4 linked regions of the Schizosaccharomyces pombe genome follow. Changing the gene in region 1 together with any one later gene gives a genetic interaction. Each region holds a gene or a part of one and is shown in the gene's direction. Other genes may lie near its edges. The genes, in order: cdc23, rum1, mcm4 and mus7.

What was found.
Region 2: of cdc23 (region 1) and rum1, changing one suppresses a phenotype caused by changing the other (phenotypic suppression), as found in Schizosaccharomyces pombe (one study listed by BioGRID).
Region 3: mutations in cdc23 (region 1) and mcm4 are lethal when combined (synthetic lethality), as found in Schizosaccharomyces pombe (2 studies listed by BioGRID, with this or other methods).
Region 4: mutations in cdc23 (region 1) and mus7 impair growth when combined (synthetic growth defect), as found in Schizosaccharomyces pombe (one study listed by BioGRID).

What each region holds. Positions count from the first base shown.
Region 1 is NC_003423.3:4,077,058-4,082,095, forward strand, and holds cdc23 (MCM-associated protein Mcm10), read left to right. Parts: upstream 1-1,999; 5' UTR 2,000-2,381; coding exon 2,382-4,163; 3' UTR 4,164-4,507; downstream 4,508-5,038. Other genes in the region: SPOM_SPBC1347.09 (hexaprenyldihydroxybenzoate methyltransferase), read left to right, coding at 393-1,247. UniProt on the Schizosaccharomyces pombe protein: Required for DNA synthesis. Required for entry into or completion of S phase. Involved in DNA replication and seems to participate in the activation of the pre-replication complex (pre-RC) and in transcription elongation.
Region 2 is NC_003423.3:2,797,815-2,802,426, forward strand, and holds rum1 (CDK inhibitor Rum1), read left to right. Parts: upstream 1-1,862; 5' UTR 1,863-2,774; coding exon 2,775-3,467; 3' UTR 3,468-4,103; downstream 4,104-4,612. UniProt on the Schizosaccharomyces pombe protein: Regulator of cell cycle G1 phase progression. Ensures the correct sequence of S phase and mitosis in the cell by acting as an inhibitor of the cdc2 mitotic kinase. Probably interacts with cdc2 to inhibit its action until the cell mass for Start is reached.
Region 3 is NC_003421.2:898,382-903,945, forward strand, and holds mcm4 (MCM complex subunit Mcm4/Cdc21), read left to right. Parts: upstream 1-2,006; 5' UTR 2,007-2,020; coding exon 2,021-4,756; 3' UTR 4,757-5,044; downstream 5,045-5,564. Other genes in the region: 19S proteasome regulatory subunit rpn1302, read right to left, coding at 1-251, 362-446, 644-774; SPOM_SPCC24B10.02C (NAD/NADH kinase), read right to left, coding at 5,169-5,564. UniProt on the Schizosaccharomyces pombe protein: Acts as a component of the mcm2-7 complex (mcm complex) which is the putative replicative helicase essential for 'once per cell cycle' DNA replication initiation and elongation in eukaryotic cells.
Region 4 is NC_003424.3:2,408,022-2,416,000, reverse strand, and holds mus7 (DNA repair protein Mus7/Mms22), read left to right. Parts: upstream 1-1,953; 5' UTR 1,954-2,030; coding exon 2,031-7,697; 3' UTR 7,698-7,865; downstream 7,866-7,979. Other genes in the region: HbrB family protein involved in TOR signaling Bit2, read left to right, coding at 864-1,772. UniProt on the Schizosaccharomyces pombe protein: Involved in protection against replication-dependent DNA damage. May act by restoring active replication forks, repairing unusual DNA structures, and/or preventing aberrant DNA rearrangement at arrested replication forks.

The sequences.
Region 1 (5,038 bases):
AGTATATAAAAAGTCCAAGCTTATTTACAAAATTCGGGTATTAGGGTAATACAAAAATGAGCGTTATACAAAAGCAAAAGGACGGTCACAGGAATCCTAATCTGTCGAATACAATAATTTAGTTAAAATAAGAAGCTACTGAAGTTTCTATATTAACAGGCTCTTTTCTGTCTAACATCCAATAATAGTTCTAAACAAATTCTCGCTTAATAAGTTTTAGTTATATTAATCATAAAAAGGGAAATTGTGCTAATCTTTCATAATCGTGGTACCTTGTGACATAAATTTTCAGTCATAACCATTTAAAGATAGTCCTTGATTATCTTTTTTTTTAATATTCCTATTAGCAAGACTTCACCGTTCATTAACAATATAAAAGGAACTAAAATATCATGTCGGATATAGTTTATGCCAACGTGTCTCATTACAACAAAATAGAAGCATCGAAATATGACAATCCAAGTACCTTGGCGATTTCCAAAGTGATTTCTTCAAAAATTTTACAGTTTGAAGACAATTCCGAAACCAGCCTAAGACATGATCTCCCAAAATATGATCAAGATAGGCTGCTTTTAACTTCGGATGATGATTTGACAAATGTAAATAATTTTTGGAAGAAAAGTGGTATGAGTATATTGGATTTTGCTTGTGGAACTGGTTTAATTAGCCAACACCTGTTCCCTTACTGTAAACAAATTGTTGGCATAGACGTTTCCCAAGACATGGTGGACGTTTATAATGAAAAATTTAGAAAGATGAACATTCCCAAAGAAAGAGCCTGTGCATATGTTTTAAGTTTGGATGATTTGGATGGCAACGGCGATGAACCATTTTCTACTGAATTTGATGCTGTTGTATGCTCCATGGCATATCATCATATCAAGGACCTACAGGAAGTGACTAATAAGCTTTCTAAACTTTTAAAACCTAATGGTCGATTATTTGTCGCAGATTTAATAAAGGGGGGTGATACTTTTCATGGTAATTTGCATCCTGATGAAATAGCTAAGCTTGGCGTAGCTCATCATGGTGGATTTACTCCGCAATCAATTTTGAATTTATTCAAAAATGCATCTTTGTCAAACGCTGAAGTCATTGGTAAAGCTCAGGCAAATGTGTGGGTCGATGAAGCTAAGTATCAACGGTCAACCCAGTCAAAAGACGCTAAAACCTTAGATTTAGCTAACGGAGAGAAGCTGTATGAGGTAAAATTACAGCTGATGGTTATTAGTGGTATCAAAACATGATCCCCTTAATTTTTAATTAGGGATAAACAAATGAATGGTCTGGGTACCCGATTTTAGAAGGTGAAGCAATCAGACCAGGAATTGCTTCATTTAAACAAGTATTGATGTCCATTAAATTGATAGCTTATGATAACTTATAACACTGTGAGTCCCGGTGATTCATTTAAACGAAACTACATACTGAGCATTCAGAAAGGACTAAACTTCATTGAAACGACAATTTCGAATATGATCAACCAAATATTATGTGGGATTACAGGCTTTTTTTATACAATACTGGAAATTTCGTTATATGATTTTTCTTCATAAGTTGGTTTCAAAAGAACTGGCCAACTGTTGTCACAAAGATTTTAATATTAAGCGCAAATTTGAATAGACAACGGAAACTAGGCAATCTCTTCCACCAAATGTAAAAAAAAGTTCGACGTTTAAAATTTAACTGTTCAAAATACCCCTTTTAAATAAGTTACTATATGCATTTGAATACTGTAGACACATCTTTTATGATTCTATATAGACAAATATCGTAAGTTTATATTATGTAAATGAATTCGTGATATCGAACGTGTATACTCATTAAATTAGCGCATCTATTTTAACCTTTTATTATTCAAACTGCAGTTATGTTGTTTACCTATAGCATGTGTAGTATAGAGAGGATTTAATTTTGCACATTATGCTTGTTTATGCACTACATTTTGCATCCTTAAACACATGTCCTTTAGATGTCCGCTAACTGTTTACATTCCTATATGTTTAACCGCGATTTTTAAGTATTGGAAAATAAGAATATCTTGTTAAAAAGATTTATAATTATTACTTGCTTCCTTTTCCAGGACTAAAGAATTTCCTGTTTTTGGCACTAAACTTTTCAACAATATCTTCGCATTTCAAAATACAAATGTGGCAGTATTAAATTTATCCTGTTATTTGTTTTGGCTACTCATACAATAGAGAAGAAAATTTTATTGATCAGAGTTTTTTTAATTTCCTGAAAAGCTAGTTTTCTAGGGTTGGGTTGAAAAGTTTCAGTATTCGTGAGAAATTGACTATATCTAACAGGCGGGGGGTTTTTTTTATCATTGACTTTGGAGGTTTAAGATTAAGAGGAAACCAAGTTTAATTAATGCAAGTATGCATGATCCCTTCATTGCAGAAGAAAATGACTTGGACCTGGAAGAAAAGAGGTTACAGAGGCAGCTAAATGAAATTCAAGAAAAGAAGCGTCTACGAAGTGCTCAAAAGGAGGCTTCTTCGGAGAACGCTGAAGTTATTCAGGTTCCAAGATCTCCTCCTCAGCAAGTTCGTGTCCTTACAGTCAGCTCGCCTAGTAAACTAAAAAGTCCCAAGCGATTGATATTAGGAATCGATAAAGGAAAGACGGGGAAAGATGTTTCATTAGGAAAAGGGCCTCGAGGGCCTCTACCAAAACCATTTCACGAACGACTTGCAGAGGCAAGGAACCAAGAAAGGAAGAGGAGCGATAAATTGAAAACGATGAAAAAAAATAGAAAGCAATCGTTCCAGAGGAAGCGAAACATACTTGAAGATGGAAAAAGTGAAGAGGAGAAATTTCCTATGAAATGTGATGAAATCGATCCTTATTCAAGACAAGCCATTGTTATTCGATACATAAGTGATGAGGTTGCTAAGGAAAATATAGGGGGAAATCAAGTTTATCTCATTCACCAACTACTCAAACTAGTAAGAGCTCCTAAATTTGAAGCGCCAGAAGTTGACAACTATGTAGTTATGGGCATTGTTGCCAGTAATAGTGGAACCAGAGAAACTGTGAATGGGAATAAATATTGTATGCTAACACTGACTGACTTGAAATGGCAACTGGAGTGCTTCCTGTTTGGAAAGGCGTTTGAACGATACTGGAAGATCCAGAGTGGTACTGTCATTGCGCTTCTCAATCCTGAAGTACTAAAGCCAAAGAACCCAGACATTGGACGCTTTTCTCTGAAGCTGGATTCTGAGTACGATGTACTTTTAGAGATTGGTCGCTCCAAACACCTTGGCTATTGTTCCAGCCGAAGAAAAAGCGGTGAACTATGTAAACATTGGCTCGACAAGCGTGCCGGAGATGTATGTGAATATCACGTTGACCTCGCTGTCCAGCGGTCCATGTCTACGCGAACGGAGTTTGCTTCAAGTATGGCGACTATGCACGAGCCTCGCGCACGACGTGAAAAGCGATTTCGTGGACAAGGGTTCCAAGGATACTTTGCTGGGGAAAAGTATTCCGCAATTCCTAACGCAGTAGCTGGTTTGTATGATGCAGAAGACGCCGTTCAGACCGAGAGGGAGCGCAAGGAACGATACAAAAAACAACGAGCGCAGGCTGAACGCGAGCGTGAAATTTTGGTGCGATTATCGAAGCGATGTTGCGCTTCCTCTTCGTCTAGCTCTAACTCGAATAACCTCTCTACGGGAATGTCGATGCGAACACTCGGCCATCAGTATCTAAATTTACAAGGTTCCGGCGTTAAAAATTTACATGACAAGGGTAATCCCACTGCTCTTTCTAAAGATAGCGAAATTGATTCATCGACGAAAAAACCATCCGTTCTGGCCTCTTTTAATGCATCTATAATGAACCCTAAATCCTCTCTACCATCTTTTTCTAACTCTGCTATTCTCGGCACTAACGATGCGGCATCAGGGACACCCGTTCCACAAGATACTACATCCACCAAAGTTTCCCCAGCGGTAGTGTTTACCTCTTCGCCGAGGATTTTTTCCCCCCAAAGTCTACGAAAAATAGGTTTCGATCCAACGCATTCCGCAGATGCATCTACAACGCACTCCACAGCGACTGGACTTTCACGATCCGGCTCCCTAAAAAATATCAAATTCCGATATGAATTTACTGAGAGTGATGATGAGGATGACTTAGAAATAGTTCCCTGAATTTTACGTTGTTTTTCTATACATTATGATGAAAATTAATTATTTAAATTACTAACCAACTTACTAATTAATTAGCTAGCTAATGGATATAGCTATGATTTCAAATGAATGTTCTTTTGTTTACATGCGACACACTTTGCTATCATGAAACTTTCAACCCTTTGTTAAACCTTTCTTCTAAATCCTAATCCTTAGTAAATCCCAATGGAATATTTGAAACGCTTATTAAACACAGTCGCTCTTTTCATTTGTGATGTCAACTGTTTGAATTCAATGTGCGAAGTCTCCCTTTTTTGTTCTGCTAGCTTCTCTCTCATACAAGAACGGCCGTTACAGCTTTTGACATCACATTGTTTATTAATCAAACGAACGTAAGCTTACTTTCATATGGTATGATGGGCTTGTAAGCAATACTAAGATAGCCAGCCAAACTGAGGTACTGTCGACACCTTTAGCTTACGATTGCTTTCGTCTAGGTATCGGACTTTACACTGCTAGTCGCCTATTTTAACGTTGCGCCGTATGGAACGGGTATCGCATTCTTATCAGTAAGGAAAGCTATCTGAATTCGTCACAAAGGAAAAGGCAAATAAATAGTCTAAAACTATATAAATGCGGGCTTCCATCTAAGAGACCTCGCCATCCAACAATTGTTGCGTCCCACCTAAACAGTGTCTAATCAAAGTCAATTGCGAGACATTCTAAAGTAAAAAGTTAATACATTTTAGCTACTACTAAATACTTCTTTTGATATTCTTTTTAGTGAACAATAAAGAATATTGGTTTGATCAACACGGTCATCTTCAGAAAAAAAATTTTTTATTCGTTGGTTTAATTAGTTAAGAAAATTTTTTTTTTCTTTCTTCGCTGACGTC
Region 2 (4,612 bases), 1.3 Mb from region 1:
TTAGAAATTATACTTTTTCTATTTGAAGAATTGAGACCATTATTAGGAATCGAACTTGCTACGGATGGCAAGTTGGATGTTGGTATAGTAGGAGCAGAGGAGGTGGCCGATTTTGGAATTGCGGATTGGCGATGACTTGCAAAAGATGAAGAAGGAGTCCTAAGTGAGTTTGGGTTAGAAGTCGTAGCCATGCTAACCCGAGAACGCACATTCATGGATGAAGACCTTGGGAACATGGGAAGGCCTAGAAGGTACATATGAAGATGCGGCTCTTCTTGCAGGTCGGACCTTTGGATCTTTAGACCTTAATAACCTTTGCTGCTGTTGTTTTTGAAGAGCTATAGCTTCCTCTTTTTGCCTTCGTTCTTGTTCAAGTCGTTCTTGTTCTTGTTGTAATTCGATCTTTCTCTGCTCTTCGGCTTGTATTTGAAGCATTTTTTGATGTTGCAATCTTTCTAATTCTTCATTATCAAAAGACAAACCTTTCCAGTCGCTATTTAGTATTAGATTCTGAGTATGCTCCGTTTGGCTTAGAACCGATGACCATAATTGTATTAGACGATTCGAGTTGTTAATGGAGGTTTCGAATGACTTTATTTTTTCTTTAGAAGCAGAAAGACCATCCGTAAGCTTTTCTATAGTGTAATTAAAGCTCCTTAAAATCTGTAGTTCTTGTTGCAATTCAGATGTCATGTTCAAAGAAAAAGATAGACTATCCTATTAACTGAAGACAAGAAAAAATCACTAAAAAATATATAATTAACTCAAGTATAGAAAATAATTTCTTGTGTGCAATTTAAGCCTAACAAAGTATTCGATTGAAGATGTGCGAATTGTTTAAAGAAATTCAGTACAAAGAGTAGACGAAGGTTGTTTTTATTTTTTTTTACAAAAAATATAATAAATTAAATGAAACAGTTTGAAAAGAAAATTGCAGCGACTCCAGTTGTCCCTTAGAATAAGAACGATAGGAAATATGAGGCAGAGGTTAGTGTTTACACAGGCAGAGAAGAAGAAATGAATTGAATAAAGAGTTAGTTATGTGCATTACATTTTGATAATAGTTTTTGAAGAGGAAACATATTTTTAATTTTTAATTTAACGAACCTATCATTTTAATTGTTTCATTTGGCAAATGCATTGATACTATTTATTGTAAACAATAGGTAATGAAGCGTAAAATAAGTCATAACATGAACATTCATTTATGAATATTTTAATTATTGACCAATATGTTTATAATATTTTTTGATAAATTATGTTAGTAGCGTATTCCTTAAACACATAAATAAACATTGTCACGATTTAATTTTTAACAATTGTGATATATTTTGGAAATACTTAGCGATGTAGCAACCGTGTATTTACTTTGCATATTGCTGTTCCCATTTCGATTTGAAAATGGTGTTTGAAAGATAGTCGATTCTTCATAAATCCATTTTTCCTGCATTTGAGCTAAGGTAATAAATATTGCTTATACCATCAATTTGCTAATAAGGAACAATCTTAACGAAATATCCCTTGAATTAGTTTTGATAGTACTTGCTTTTAAATAACAATAAGAGACTTATTTCATTTACCATACTCGCGAAGTTTCTTCTTTATTAGAACTTCAAATGTAGTTTACTTTTATTTACGGTTTTGCAGTCATATATTTTTATTTTCGAACTGGAATATTTCTATGATGCTTAAAATTGTTAGTAAATTTTTTAGATTTTTGCTAAAGAGAACAGAAAATCGATTCTCATTTAAAATCTAACTACACATTTATGCAAAAATTGTACTTGATCAAAGTAATTAATTTAGCGTACTGCGTTACAGCCATCTAATAGTAATGGTTACCACGAAATGAGCAAATAACCAGTTAACCAGAACGTCAAACATACAGTTCTACTACTACATACATAAGCTTTGGGTTCCTTGACAGCGGTTGTTGCAAACTGAATTTTTTTGTTTTGGATTATATATAATATACAATCAATTGATCTTGTTTAGTCTTGATTCGTGTGTGTTTACTTGAGTGCTGCAGTAATATATTACTAAATTGTACGAATTTGGTCAAAGAGAATCCGCTTTTTTATCAGTTTTTTATTTTTAAAATTTAATTTTGAATTATACTCTTTACAAGGAACGGTAGCATCTTTATAAGAAATCGAGCATTCAATTTCTATGTGAAAAAGTTGAATTCGTCTAAGCAAACAACCAACTAGTTTTTAAATTCTAACATTAGAAAGAATATTTTTCCTTGTTAATTATTCTATTTACAATTTTAAAGTTGGCACATATCTTTTTTTGATTGGTTGATTCTTTGATATTTTAGCTGCACTTACTTCTTGGTATGAAGTGAAATTTTGCTTTTTAAAATAGACATTTTCCCATTCCCGTTTTCTAAAAGATTCCTTTTTTTTGTTTACTCCGAAAATTTCAATACCTTTCTTACAAGCTACAATCCCATTTTGTTCCTTCCTTTTGATATATTGAAGCCATTTCAATTGTTTCTATATTATTTCAAACAATTTTACAAATATTGTTTAAATTGTATAATTATCAAAGCGCAGTCGCTAGCTTGGTGGGTATTAAATTGTTACCTTTTCGTTTGCTACAGGTAACTTGTGAACATTTCTGGTGCTGAATTTTCCTACACCCAAAAACCATTGAAAAATACATTTTTTAAATCATATCGGAAAGCTTGAATACACGCTCTTCTGATAATCCGCTCGATACATAAAGGATTTCTTCTTGCATTTACCTGGTTTTTGGATTGTCAGTTCGCTATGGAACCTTCAACACCACCTATGCGAGGGTTGTGTACTCCATCTACCCCAGAGTCTCCTGGGAGTTTTAAAGGAGTCATCGATGCTTCGTTAGAAGGTAATTCTTCTATTATGATAGATGAAATCCCTGAAAGCGATTTACCAGCACCTCAAGTTAGCACATTTCCACCTACACCTGCTAAAACTCCCAAAAAGCAATTACTACCAAATTTAATGCTACAAGATCGGAGTAATTCTTTAGAAAGATGTATGGAAGAAGACAGAGAACACAATCCTTTTCTCAGTTCATCTGATAACCAGCTTTTGTCAAGAAAGAAGAGAAAGCCTACTCCTCCTCCTTCTGATGGTTTGTACTATGTTTTTCGGGGGAAAAGAATCAAGAAATCCTTCAGGCCTGGAACTGATTTATCTACTTTTAAGCCCAAACTCTTGTTTGCTGACTCGGCGCCTTCTTCTAGTTCAGATAACCCAACATCCTCTGTAGACCTTAATGACTATTCTCAAATTGGCATTCTCCCTCCAAACCTGAATTCTATTGGGAATAAAATGTTCTCGTTAAAATCAAGGGTTCCATCTTCCTCGTCAGGTTCCTTTGTTGCTCCCCCACCGCAAATGCGTTTACCTGCGTATTCATCACCACAAAAATCACGATCTAATACAAAAGATGAAAACAGGCACAATTTATTACGATAACTTTTTTTCGCATTTTGTAATTGTGTTTGATACCGTTTATATAAATGCCCAATCACGAAATACTCTTCTGCCTTATTCATGATAATCGTTCGTTTGAACTTTTGGTAGTAGATCAGAACCTCCTATTCTCTATTCTTGATGAAAATGCATTTTGACAAACGCTGGTCGTTAGTCATTCATGGTAATATCACCACAATATCACCACGATTTTCTTAATTGAGTATCTATAATTACATTTCCCCATCTTTCCATTTGTGCCTATTCATATTCCATTTGGCAACTTAATTTTTTATCGTCCTCCCGTGTCTGCCCTGAGCCATTGCAACTTTTTTTAGCAACCTTTTACGGCATGCTTTGAAATATTATACGTTTAACTTATTTCCTAATTTCATCCACTGAGCTTTTACTTTAAGACTTATACTAATATTACATGGCTTTCACAATTTTCTTTTCTTTGTTCAGAGAGTGAATATATTCTGAAATGTTGTATTTATCGATTAGTTAATAATGCTATTCGATTTCTAAATTTTTTGCTGGTTTGGAAACTATAGTCTGTTATTCTCAATAACTAGTTTTATATTCAATTGTTTTATCCCAGTAATAAAAAGGTATTTTTATACCGCATATACAATACTATTCTAGGCTTCTTAGACAGTTATACACATTACGGTATTGCTGTTACATTGAGTTAATTTGTGGTTTGGTGATATAGTGAAGTTTACTAGCTGGTACTGAAATCCTACAAATGGATAACAAAACTGGTTCTAAGCGTATGAAAGGAGTCTTTGGGTAAAATTATAGTGTAATATCGTTTCGTTCATTGAAGTAATAATTAGGCCTAACCGACTCTACTTGACTAACATTTTTTCTTCACACCATGAAGCATGATGAATAATGTATTTATTTATGTTACCTGAGCGGTAAGATGATTTGTTTACATAATGTCACTTTTATTTACATTTGCACTGCAAAATGACAACAAGGAAGCCACTTACATCACAGTGAAGTTCGTTAAAAATTCGTAACTCTTATATTTACATGGTACCCGTGTTTCTCCCCTCTACCATACTGAGCATATAAAATAACACAAAAGTTAGTGAATCATTTTGTGGCATATCCGAACACTCCTTAGCTTTTTACGAAGC
Region 3 (5,564 bases), on another chromosome or scaffold:
CTGGTTGATGAATCATCCGTACCTCTACTGCTAGAATTATTATGTGAGTTGATAGTCCGAGTCGTATTCACAGGGTCAGCAATTAATTGATTGATTAAGGAAGCTGTTTCCTTGTCTTTTTCATCACTATACTCCTGCATCCAGTAAAAATGAATCTGCGAAGAGGATTTAAATTTTAGTGCATATACGCGTCCCGTGGTACATTCATCAATTTTGATAAACTCTGCTTCTTCTGGAAATATGATGTAGTCCTTCATTATATGTTAGTAAACATAAACCAAATTAAAAAAAAAAAAACGCAAAAGTAAATTTATATATATAAATAGGTATACTTTGCAATTGATTTAAATTGTCTTCATACATCTTCTACTTCTCTAGAAACCCTGGCCCTTTCTTTCCAATAGAAATGCAATAATTCATCAGAAGCCATTTGCATATAGATAACTCTAAACAAATGTCAGTATTAAAAATCAGATCTTTTAACTTTATAAACAGAAAACAATTCCACAAAACCCAACAGTGTGGATTTTCACGCATCCTTCCAACGTAAACATGCAAAGAAGCTTCATAAACAATTCTTTGGGTAGAATTTCGTTTTCCCAGTAGAAAGGACTACTATCTATATTATTATTATAGTACATACCCTTTTCGGTGATCAGCTTGCAGAATATTCGTTCCTGGCTTTCTTTGAAGTTTTCCAGCTTTTACGGAGACTAATCCATACTTTCCTCTCTCGCTAGTCTCGTTTCTTACTCTTCCAAAAACTGATTCCATTTGTAATTTATTTTTTGTCAACTCAAAAGCTCACGATTATTGACCTTGTGAATTGTTGTGGTATAGTTGAGTATGCAGTGTACACAGTGCAAGTGAGCAAAGTAATCCACACAAACGTATCATGTCTATAGACATGATTTCTCAAAATCATTTAATTTTCTAATTGTCGCCACTATAATCATCTTTTATCATGTAATAGACAATCTTTTTAGGTGGTTAACTGCTCTAATATTTGAAGCTGATTTATCAAGCCGCATTTGATGGTTTCGCCTAAAAAGATGTTTTAATAGCAAATTAATACTACACTTTAAAAGGAAAAGGAACGTTCCACTATGCAGTGGAATTCATCTCTTAAAGGGCCTTGAAAAGACATAAGCCAATTTTTGTATCATCGTTAATGGCATCAATAGTAAAACAGAATAAACCAGTTTTCACCAATTATACATAGAAGAAAATCAAGATACAATAAATGTCTATAATCCTTTCAGGTTTTGAAGAGCAAAACATAATCGAGAAAAAGTATGCGTCCTACACAATGGTATTTCACTAGAAATAATAGAAAAATACATTCATACACTATTTGAAATTCACACCATATAACTCATAATATACAGACTTAAGTTTTTTTTATTAGAGACAGTCCAGTAGTCGAATGGTCAAATGAACTCTACAAATGGTTAATATAATAACAACTCAGGTATTCAATATGAGAGAAAATTCAAAATAAACCTTATTTTAAGAAATATTATTAGTAAAATTACTAAATCACCATCTGCCCTCTTCAATTAGCGTCAAATCACAGTTAATAGATTCGACCTTCAAATACAACTGGTAGTTCCAAATTGCAAAAACGATCATCTCAAAATGTTAAACTAGCATAACGTTTAATTAAAGCAATGTAATCCTTTATTTCAACATTCTTTTCATATTTCTCTTCATTCGTCCAAAAAAATAGAATATCACTTAAAAGGAAGTAAGTCAATAACAAATTCATAATACCTTATTTATGATAACAAATTTGCTTTAATTGATCCTAATATCTAGTGTCGCAAAGTTTTTTAGTTTACATTTTCATAGTCAATTACTGGTAGCTTGATGATCAATGGAGAATATGACAAATTGTTAAAAAATTATACAAATTTCCAATTATTTAAATCTTTGCTATGCTATTTATCTCTTCATTGTTGTATGTTTATGAGTAGTTACTCTACTCCCTTACACTGTCTTTCTACACCCACCACGAGTCATGTCCTCTAGTCAGCAAAGTGGCAGAGCCAATGAGTTGAGGACTCCTGGAAGAGCTAACAGCTCTTCAAGAGAAGCAGTGGATTCTTCTCCGTTATTTTTTCCTGCTTCGTCTCCTGGTTCTACACGCCTTACAACACCGAGGACTACAGCGCGTACACCTCTCGCTTCCTCTCCTTTACTGTTTGAATCTAGTTCACCAGGTCCAAACATTCCTCAGAGTTCACGTTCTCATCTTTTATCTCAGCGTAATGACTTGTTCCTTGACAGTAGTTCGCAGAGAACACCGCGCTCGACAAGACGTGGAGACATCCATTCTAGCGTGCAAATGTCTACCCCATCTCGTCGAAGAGAAGTTGACCCTCAACGTCCCGGGGTAAGCACTCCTAGTAGCTTGTTGTTTTCTGGGTCAGATGCACTCACGTTTAGTCAGGCGCACCCAAGCAGTGAAGTAGCTGATGACACTGTCCGTGTCATTTGGGGAACAAATGTATCTATTCAAGAAAGTATCGCTTCCTTTCGTGGATTTCTACGTGGGTTTAAGAAAAAGTATCGACCTGAATACAGAAATGAACTTATGCCACCTCCTGATGCCGAACAACTAGTGTATATTGAAGCGCTACGAAACATGCGTATTATGGGTTTGGAAATATTAAATCTTGATGTTCAGGATTTAAAGCATTATCCCCCAACCAAGAAGCTATATCACCAGCTTTACTCATACCCTCAAGAAATCATTCCTATCATGGATCAAACCATTAAAGACGTTATGCTAGACTTGTTAGGAACTAATCCTCCCGAAGATGTTCTTAATGACATTGAGCTTAAAATTTACAAAATTCGTCCTTTTAATCTTGAAAAATGCATTAATATGCGTGATCTTAATCCTGGTGACATTGACAAATTGATCTCTATTAAAGGTCTGGTACTTAGGTGTACACCTGTAATACCCGACATGAAGCAAGCATTTTTTCGATGTTCAGTTTGTGGTCATTGTGTTACCGTGGAAATCGATAGAGGGCGAATTGCTGAGCCCATAAAATGCCCTAGAGAAGTCTGTGGTGCTACAAATGCAATGCAGCTAATTCATAATCGTTCTGAATTCGCCGATAAGCAAGTTATTAAACTCCAAGAGACACCTGACGTGGTACCGGATGGCCAAACCCCACACTCTGTAAGTCTGTGCGTATATGATGAACTGGTTGACTCTGCTAGAGCAGGAGATCGTATAGAAGTCACTGGGATTTTTCGCTGTGTACCAGTTCGTTTGAACCCTCGCATGCGTACTGTAAAATCATTATTTAAAACTTATGTCGACGTTGTTCACATAAAAAAGCAGGACAAACGTCGTTTGGGTACGGATCCTTCTACGTTGGAAAGCGATATTGCTGAAGATGCTGCTTTACAAATTGATGAAGTACGGAAAATATCAGACGAAGAAGTGGAAAAAATTCAACAAGTTTCAAAGCGGGACGATATATACGATATTCTTTCCCGGTCTCTGGCACCTAGCATTTACGAAATGGATGATGTTAAAAAGGGGCTTTTGCTACAGCTATTTGGTGGAACGAACAAGTCTTTTCATAAAGGCGCAAGTCCGAGATATCGTGGAGACATAAATATCTTGATGTGTGGTGATCCATCTACGTCTAAGTCTCAAATTTTGAAGTATGTCCATAAGATAGCACCCAGAGGTGTTTACACTAGTGGCAAGGGTTCATCTGCTGTTGGTTTAACTGCCTATATTACTCGTGACCAAGACACGAAGCAACTAGTCTTGGAAAGTGGTGCTTTGGTACTGTCAGATGGGGGCATTTGCTGCATTGATGAGTTTGACAAAATGTCCGATGCTACACGTTCTATTCTTCATGAAGTTATGGAGCAGCAAACCGTTACAGTTGCCAAGGCTGGCATTATTACTACTTTGAACGCTAGGACTTCTATTTTAGCTAGTGCAAATCCAATTGGAAGCAAATACAATCCAGACTTGCCTGTCACCAAAAATATTGATCTTCCGCCTACTCTCTTATCTAGATTTGATTTGGTGTATTTAATATTAGACCGCGTGGATGAAACGCTGGATAGGAAGCTCGCAAATCATATTGTTTCTATGTACATGGAAGATACTCCTGAACATGCTACAGATATGGAGGTCTTTAGTGTGGAATTTTTGACAAGCTATATCACATATGCTAGAAATAATATTAATCCTGTCATTAGTGAAGAGGCAGCAAAGGAACTAGTGAATGCTTATGTTGGTATGCGAAAGCTTGGGGAGGATGTGCGAGCATCTGAGAAAAGAATTACTGCTACAACAAGACAACTGGAATCAATGATTCGTCTATCTGAGGCCCATGCGAAAATGCATCTTCGCAACGTTGTTGAGGTAGGAGATGTTCTTGAAGCTGCTCGCTTGATTAAGACCGCTATTAAGGATTATGCAACTGATCCTGCAACAGGAAAGATTTCTCTTGACCTAATTTATGTTAATGAAAGAGAGACTTTGGTACCTGAAGATATGGTCAAAGAACTGGCGAATTTAATTTCAAATTTAACTGTGGGTGGAAAAACTATGTTGGTCAGTCAATTGTTAACTCGGTTTCGTGAGCAGAGTTCTACTCGCTTAGATGCTTCTGATTTCGAAGCTTGTCTGGGTGCTTTGGAAAGGCGAGGACGTATTAAGGTTATTACCAGTGCTGGACATCGCATTGTACGTTCAATTGCACAGACTGATTAATTTTTTAGCGAATAAGCTGGTATTATTCATGAGCCATAAACCATAGGTCGTTGTTGAAAATCAAAGACTACAGAGCATAATACGAATGTCTTTCTTGTTATATATACACACGTTCTTTTTGTTATAAAAATATTTTACATATTTATCGAGGGATCCTTAACATTCATTTTTCTTTTTTTTTTCGGCTTTTGAGTATGAACTGAACAATGAGTAAACATTATGAATATAAATTCGTTAATACCAAAGTTGAAATAATAATAATAATAATAATTAACATAAACTTTCAAAAAACTAACAGATATCTAAACAATCGTAACCAATAATTCGCCATGATTCGTAGAGGCAGTGTGTGCCTAATTTTAAGTATTTTCAACAGTAGTCAGATGTCATTAAAAGAAAAATGGATAGCAATTTAACCATCAATGTCTGCAGAAAATTCTCTGCAATAGGAATTATCTGTAATATCAAATTTATCGTCACTTGTATCCTTAACATCACTCAAGCTTGGTTTTCTAGAAAAGGGCTTTTGACGCTCACGCACATTCCAATTGAATTTATCTTCTAATACCTTGGTCCATTGGTATCCTGGATTTTGAATGGTTGTGAAAGGGTAATGAGACGTAACAATTGATAAATAGTCGCCTCTATGCATCTCCACAGATTCATGACGGTCAACGGAAAAGAATGCACTACTTCGAGAATCCAAAGGGATCTCAACGTTCAAAACATTGTAATCTGGTAAAATAATAGGACGGAAAGAAAGCGTATGAGGACAAACTGGTGTTACTAAAATCGCATTTAGTGCAGG
Region 4 (7,979 bases), on another chromosome or scaffold:
AACTTATTGAGCACCAAATATGAATAATTAAAAATGCATTAAACGCTTTGTGACAATTGATGGCTTCATTGAATTGTTGATTTAGCATCTCAACATTATTTATTAAATATACCAAGAATAAAATATTATTAGGATTCCTATATCAGCTACGCAGTTTGTTATCTGTTGTAACGATACGTTGGATTACGTCGAAATCTCCTTGTTATCTATTATATTGCACTATACTGGTAATGTAAGTAGCAACTTGTTATTAGTATTCTATATGATTACATTTTTAGCCATCACTAATATTGCCTACAGCTGAACCTCGTTCCTCAGTTCAGTTATAGCTTCTATTCGTAATTATCTAATAGATGTTACCAGCGGGTATTTTTGTATACAGAATAGTTATTCTCAATTACCAATAAAAACACCTTAGCTAATATTCTAACATATGATATTTAGCGATAGACAAGCATAATGTAGCATAACATATAGTAGAATTGCAGGTATTACAAAAGCGATGAATATATTCACAACTTTGAGCCATGGAAATCGACCATACACATTTTTTTGGTGTAGCATATGCTCAAATTGGCTTTAAAAAAAAGTTCATGAAATAAAGAAACTTAGTCATCGACAATGGACCTTGGAAAAATAGAAATCCGAAAATTAACGTGATACTGTTTCATATTTTGTATTATTTATTTAGTGTGCGTGACGCATGTTATTAAATATAGCCTTTGTCAAGTTCGTTAAATTAAGCTTATTTTTTATAGAGTAATTGAATCTATTGACGTAACTTACGCCTGCGATACAGAAATGCAAACAACGAATTTCAACTTTTAAAATCTACCATTGTCTAATATTTAAAAAAGCTAGAAATGAAATTGAGGGATAAATGGAAAATTTATTTAGGGTTAACGACTATCAAAGTTCAATGCCCTTGTTTTTTTTTGTTTCACAATGATGAAAATCGAACCACTACATCTAACTTAGATTCGGTAAAGTCTAAAAAAAAAAGAAGGAAGACGATATCTGATGCTTCAATCGTTTCTAATGGATCTCTAGTCTCTCATCCATCTATTGACAAGGGAAAACTCTCTATTCTCAAGCGATATAAAATGTCGCATCGATTAACTGCAATTGATAAACTAAGACCGCTAACTGTGTTGGTAGCGTGGAAACAATTAAACATTGCTATGAGACCAATATTTCCGCAACATCGTTACACCGAACAGGATAAGAAGAATTGGAAAAAAAAGGTTATTATCGAAGATTTAAATTTTTTAGTGCTGCGGTGTATATGCGCTTGCGAAGCAATAAGCGATTTTGAAGAGCTTTTGGGAAATATGCGAATTGGACTGATAATTGACATTTCATTGCTGGGTATGAATAGCAATGAGTCTTCCTTTCTACACTATCTTGTTGAGGTGTGGTCGATTTTTTATTTAGAAATATTGCCGTATATCGAAGCTACGTTTTTGCCTGTTACTTTTGCAAAATTTGAGATTGCTCAATTATTTGAAGAGCCCATGAAAACGTACTGGTTAAAAAAGAGTGCTAATATAGATTTGAAACTGTTTTCTATTTGGGTGTTTCGTAAATTTGTTGTAATGCCAAAGCTGAAAAAGACAAATCGATTCATTGAAATTCCTCAATTGAATACTCAGCAGCAGATTTTACTCGTCCAGATGATTTCCATTATTTCTCTCATAAAGCCACAAGATGAATCCGAAGATCTTCTAATGAACTGGCTAAACGAACTGACTTTAAAATTTTTATATGTCTGAAATTTAATATGTTTTAATAGAAGATAGACTTTTTATACTTTCAATATTTGTTTTTAAAGCCCATTTAAGCAATTTATCTTTTAATATTTGCGGCTTTTGTTAGGTATTTAATAATGTTACCTATTCCTTGTTACTCAATGGTGTTTCTATTTTGCTAACTGGAGTATGCAACAGGACCTCCATATAGACACTTTTTAAAATCGAAAGAACTCTTCTAAGCCCTCTTATGTAATACCATCTTTCCCATGGGTTTGTAGGATGAATAGTTTCCTTTTACTTGACCATGTGTCTGACTCTCAGGATTCTGGAAGTGAATGGTCAAATACTCATGGGTCTTTAATTTCACAACGTGGAAATGAATACGATGGAATTACGCCGGCTACTAAAGAAAAAAATCAAAATAAGCTAGAAATTCTGAACAATGAAACCACCATCGGTTCTACAAAGTCATCGGTGTCTTCATTGCCCGAATTGAATAGGAATGTTTCTTTTGAAAAAAGTGATCAAAATTTAGCTGAAACAAAGAGGGAAGAAGAAAACAAACGAACTGAGGTTTTTAAAAAAGATGCCGAACACGAAGCGGTTGTTGTTAAAAGAGATTTTCGCCCTAGACGTCCTGAGCAAACCCGGCCTTATACTTACGATTTCTTAAGGCATCAAATAGAGTTTAAAAGAATAGGCTTGGTACCCATCACCGTACCGCATGGTTTTTCTTCTGATCGATCTATTACTTCTAAGTCCTCTCATAAACCTGTAAATGTTATAGTTCGTAATCGTGCTTCTTCACGTAAACCACCCTTGACCTCTACTCATCGCTTTAGAAGGTATGGAGCTGTAATATCTGATAGCGATGATGATGAGTCTAATACTGAGCAAGATCATTCAAAGGAATCTAATCTGAATACAGCTGACAATGACCTCGCATTGTCGTCTACTATTGAAGGAAAGAAAACCTCAACTAGCAAAGAGGCTTTAGAATCTGAGTCTTTACTTTCCGATTCGGATCAGTCTATGACAAATATCTCATCGAATTCTACTGTGAGTGATCTGAATTTGAAAACTTTAAAGAAAAGATTACGAGGAGTTTTACCACCATCATTTCTAACTCTTCAAGAAAAAAAAAAATTGGAAAATAGAGGTGTCAAAAAAAAGACATCATTACACAAGAGTGTTATTGAGGGAGAAAAAATAAAAGGTGTGGCTCGACGGAAGTTGCATCCTAGATCGACAGCTAAACTATCTAGTGAATTAGGAAACGAAATATCGGATTCTGACAATAGCATTTCTACGCCAACACCAACTGATGATTCACGGTTTGACACCAGCGAGTTTTTAGATTCAATTTCTCGTGATAATGGCTGGTTGAAAGAAGATGTGGTTGATCAATTATGGCTTCCTAAAAGAAGTTTATCCGCTCTTAAAAAATCAAGTTCTTTGACGTCGGAAAACCCCTTTCAGCTAAATGTAGCAGCCAATGCTGTTTCTACTATTCCTGTCTATCGCACAACTAAAACCAAAATGAAAAAAAATAGATTTAAATATGTCGAAGTGGAAAAATTACCAGACCTTATCCTTGAATCGTATGGGAAAAAGGCGCCAAAGTTTTTGAGGGTGTTTGCTCGAAGTTCATCTCATATTCCAAAAATGATTAGAAGAAAAAGACAAATGGATTCCAAAAAGTATTTTTCCTTCGACAAAGAATCCGATCGCCAAGTTATTGATCAAGTTCTTTCTGATTGGTATTCAGGTAAACATGAGCTTGTTCAACAATCTCATTCTTACAAAAAGCCTTCAGATTCTAAGTCAGTTGGTGGAAATATTTTTTCTGTTAATTCTAAAAAGCATAGTGTAAATATTAACGCTAAAACAGCAGCAAATAACGGTTTGAGTCATCTTCAAAATTTTAGCGAGGAACTCTTAAAAAAAAGAAAGCTATTTTCTTCTCTTTTTTCTAATAACGTTTCATACAAAAAATCCAAAAAGTTAAAAAGGACTCATACAGTACATGACAAATGCCAAAAAGTTGCCAAATTAGACCATTACATTAGGGACAATATTGAATTAAACTCAAAGGAAAGAGAACATGATTGTTATGAGGGGACTTTAGCTGTACCCCAAGTAAATACTGAGATCCGCAAGTCTTCAAGAAAGCAGAAGGCTCAACGATTTATACGAGACGATTTTGACACCGTCTTTTTTCAATCCTCTTCAAACCCTAATTATTTTACAGATGTAAATCCTTTTTGGAATATAGGTATTTGGTCTACTACATTTAATGTCATAACTTTTAGACCGGGACTTAGTTTGCCCAACAACTCCTTTATAAAAACCCAAGGGTTAAATTCTATTCTTCAATTGGACATCGTCACACATCCTTTTAAGTCTGTTTATGCTTTTTCTTGTTTATTCAATATCCAGGATGATGTTTTTAAAACATTCGAAAAATTAAAAGACACTTTTGAGACAGTCTTAGAAAATCTTCCATACTTTACAAACTCTGAAACTGTTGACTTGTACAATCTACTTTCTTTTTGCTCTGCGTTTATTCTTCATTCTCAAGTATCAATGGGCTTGGTTAACTTGGCTTCCTCCTTTTTAGAAACCTATGCATTAGTCAATGATCGTGTTTCTTCTATATCGGGGTTGAATAGATCACAATTGGTTGAAAAAATAGCTGTGTTGTTTCAAACTTTTCAAGTTGTATTTTATTGTGAATTTGAACTTGGAAATCAGCAAAACATTAATAAAGTTTCCTGGCTGGCAAGTGATTTGATTTCAAAACTTCTTTCTGCTGGTCAATCTGGTCTATTGGAATGTTATCGGAATTTGAGAATTCAAGCTTCAGATACGACTGTAATTGACACTCTTTTTTTGGAATCTTGGTCAATTTTAAATCATATTCTTTTTCATGTATATAAGAAGAAATATGCTTTGTGGGAACAGGTGAATTCATTTTTTGATCTTCAAAAAAAGGAGTTGTCTATATTAGAAATGGAAAAAATTTGGTATGTTATAATGACGCTCAATCCCGTTTTCCAAATTGGGCTTAATGGAACGACTCATTCACCAGGAAACAATAGTTTTTGGCCACTGATAATCAGAGTTTCAGAAAGTGCATTTAAAATGCATAAGGACGGACACAATGTTAAAGTGGTTGAGCGATACCTTCGCACAGTGTTTCTTCGAATTCATTTTCTCATATCTGAATGGCGTTGGGAGGATGTGGCTCAAATCCTATTTTTGATATTCGATTTCTTTAGCCATAGAAAGTTTAATGACCTTTCTTCTGAAATATCTGAAGATACACCAACTGACTTTCCTGATTTTGTTAAGTCACTTGACAGACCTCCAAATCTTCATGTAACTGCTCTTGATACATGTTTTGTAATTTATTTAAAAGTTATTTTAATTTCTATAAGCCGTTTGAGGCAAGTAGATGAAAATACAAATTCAATCAAGAGGATAGTATCCAGATTACAGCCCTTACATTCACGTCAATACACGCGAGAAAGTCCATTCTCAATTAAGGACTTTATGTCTTTGGAACATACTCACACTCTTCTTATTTGTCTTTATTGGGCAGCACCCGAGAATTGTAGGCCCAGTTTAAATCGCATTAGGGATATTGTAATCGTCGATAATTCTCATCTTAAGGCACGTTTAATTAGTCTAAAAGCATGGCTTCACCTAATGAAGTATGTGATAAAAGAGGGAACTGATTATGAACTCGCTCAGGGAATGGAGTGGTTTAATTCCATTTTAAAAGTTACATTTGATGAATATCTTGCTCTCTTTTCAAATGGAACTTCTGTTGGTGAGATGCAATTGGCTGAATACTCGAAACATCAACTTGAAAATGCGCTAATTGTAGCTTTCCATTCCCTTCAAGATTTAATTCCCAATTCTTCAGTTTATATTAGTAGGATAAACGTTTTGGTGACGGAGCAGTCATGCCGGCGCATTCTTAAAGACTCTCATTTTTTTCCTCCTCGCGTTACTCTGGAGTGTATTTTATTTCTAAAAAAGTTTTTGCAGTATCAATCTAATACAGAGCCACCTAAGGTTACCGTTGTTGGTAGCACTTCGCATGATAGTCAAGATGCTTACTTTGATTCTGATGTGCTGGATGATAACACACTCATTTTAGAACAAGAAAAGTTTGAACGTAAATACGAAGTGGCTCAAATATTGAGAACATTTGTTTCACCCTTTTTGTATCAAACGATATCTTATCTCGTTGGAAATGACGAGGACAAAGAAAATTATATTCGTATTTTACTTTTACCATTAATGGAGTGCATGGCAATTTGTGCTAGTTTTGCTGTAGAAGCGAAAATCAATGACTGGAGTTACTATATCGATTTTGGGTCTGAGTCTTGGGAAAGGATTCGTAACACTCCTTTGAAAAGATCTCTCAGTACCACGTTTTATTCCTTCCTTATATCTTATAATGATTCTTTTATTAAAAAACATGAGGAAAAAGTCTTAACTGTATGGTTTGAATCACTGGGCGCTTTAGATGAGGATCATGCTGCACAATTTACGATTTTGTTATTACAGAAAAACCTAAAAAATCCTATTTTGCTTAATTTACCGATATCCGTCAAAATTGAGGAAATTAGTATAAATTACTTTAAGTCGGTTCACTTGAATTTATTAACAGCTGTGTTTTGCAACATGGCAAAACTGTATGCTGATGCCAAGACAAATGGTTTCGCGAGCTCTCAATATTTACAGAGCTTGTTTATTCATTACCTATCCTCTCTACTGTCTTCTATGCAGCATAGTTATGAGACAAATGGTCATTCTTCTGATACTCACTCTTTGTTTGTTATTAATTCACAACGTGTTGTCGGAGACATTTTACAGTATTGTAGTCAATTTGCAAATGATCGTAACCTTCCTGCCCTCAGATATTTTATGGACTCAACTAAGTTCCCCCAACCACCGGAGCGTCTCGAATATACGGCCTTGAGGTTACGAAGTTATGCGAGAAAAACTCTCACAAATTCAGCTTCTCAAAATGCTTTGTTTAGTTTCCTAAAAGCAAATTTTGATGTTGCTCTGCTAGAACAAAAGCAAACTGAAACTTCTAATCTTTTAAGGCTGGCTATGGGATTCCATAATCAAAATAGCTCCAGCAAATGGGATGTCGAGATTTCTTCTCTTCGGAAATTTTGTGTAAAGGAACTTTTATTGAGTTACCTTGGTGAAGGCTCGTTAGCAGCTATGTTTTATTCATTGTTACTACTGGAGGGTCTAAGCCGAACTTACAACAGCTTTAGACGTATATATTTGCAACCTTACATTCAACAGTTACTGTGTGAAGAAATTTCTGTTTTTGTGGCTGATTTAGAGAAATATGCTTTATTATATGAAAACAAACGCCCTTTACTTTCTGGGAGAATATATTACCTTATTTCTTCATTTGTGGCTATAAGCATGACAAACAAAACCAGTGGATTGCCATCTAGTTTAATATGTAACTTACAGAATTTTTTAGCTCGCATAGCTCGAGACTTCCTTCTTGAATTATGTTGGAATATTGAAGGGTCTGAGTTTCCCCCTCCTTACAATACTGTTGATTGTCGTAGCAAATTTGTTAAAACTATTCAGCAACATTGCTCAGCGGATTGGTACGACAACGTTACCAATATTGTACATAAGTCTAGGAAGAAAAAACTAGTTTTGCCTTCTCAGGTGGAACAGGAAGAAGAATACTGGTCAGGTTTAATGGAAGTTACTATTCAAATATGGAAACACGATAAAGGTTTTTTAGAGCCTGAATTAGATAGGTTTCTCAATGTAATTTGCAGTTATGCACCTGACATGAGTGGGTTACCGACAAAAATCAAATGCTTTTTGGATAAAATCGGCTATTCTTGGATGACTGAAGAGAATGATTTTGATATTGTATTGTTTTAAAAGCCAAAATTAAAAGATTTTTCAGTTGTGGTTGCTTTTGGTTTCCACGTTGTTTATTTTATTTATTTTATTTATTTTTAATATTTCATTTGATGTCTGTGTAATACACAAACTCATTTATTAATTATCTCTTGTTGTATACAAAATAATTAGACAATGAAATAATCCAGTTCTGCATATTTCTTTTGCTTAGAGCTCTTTTTTTTTGCTACTAGTACATCCATTAATGTACGTAATTTTATTATCACATGACTGTGGTCTAATTTGACCAGTAAAATATAA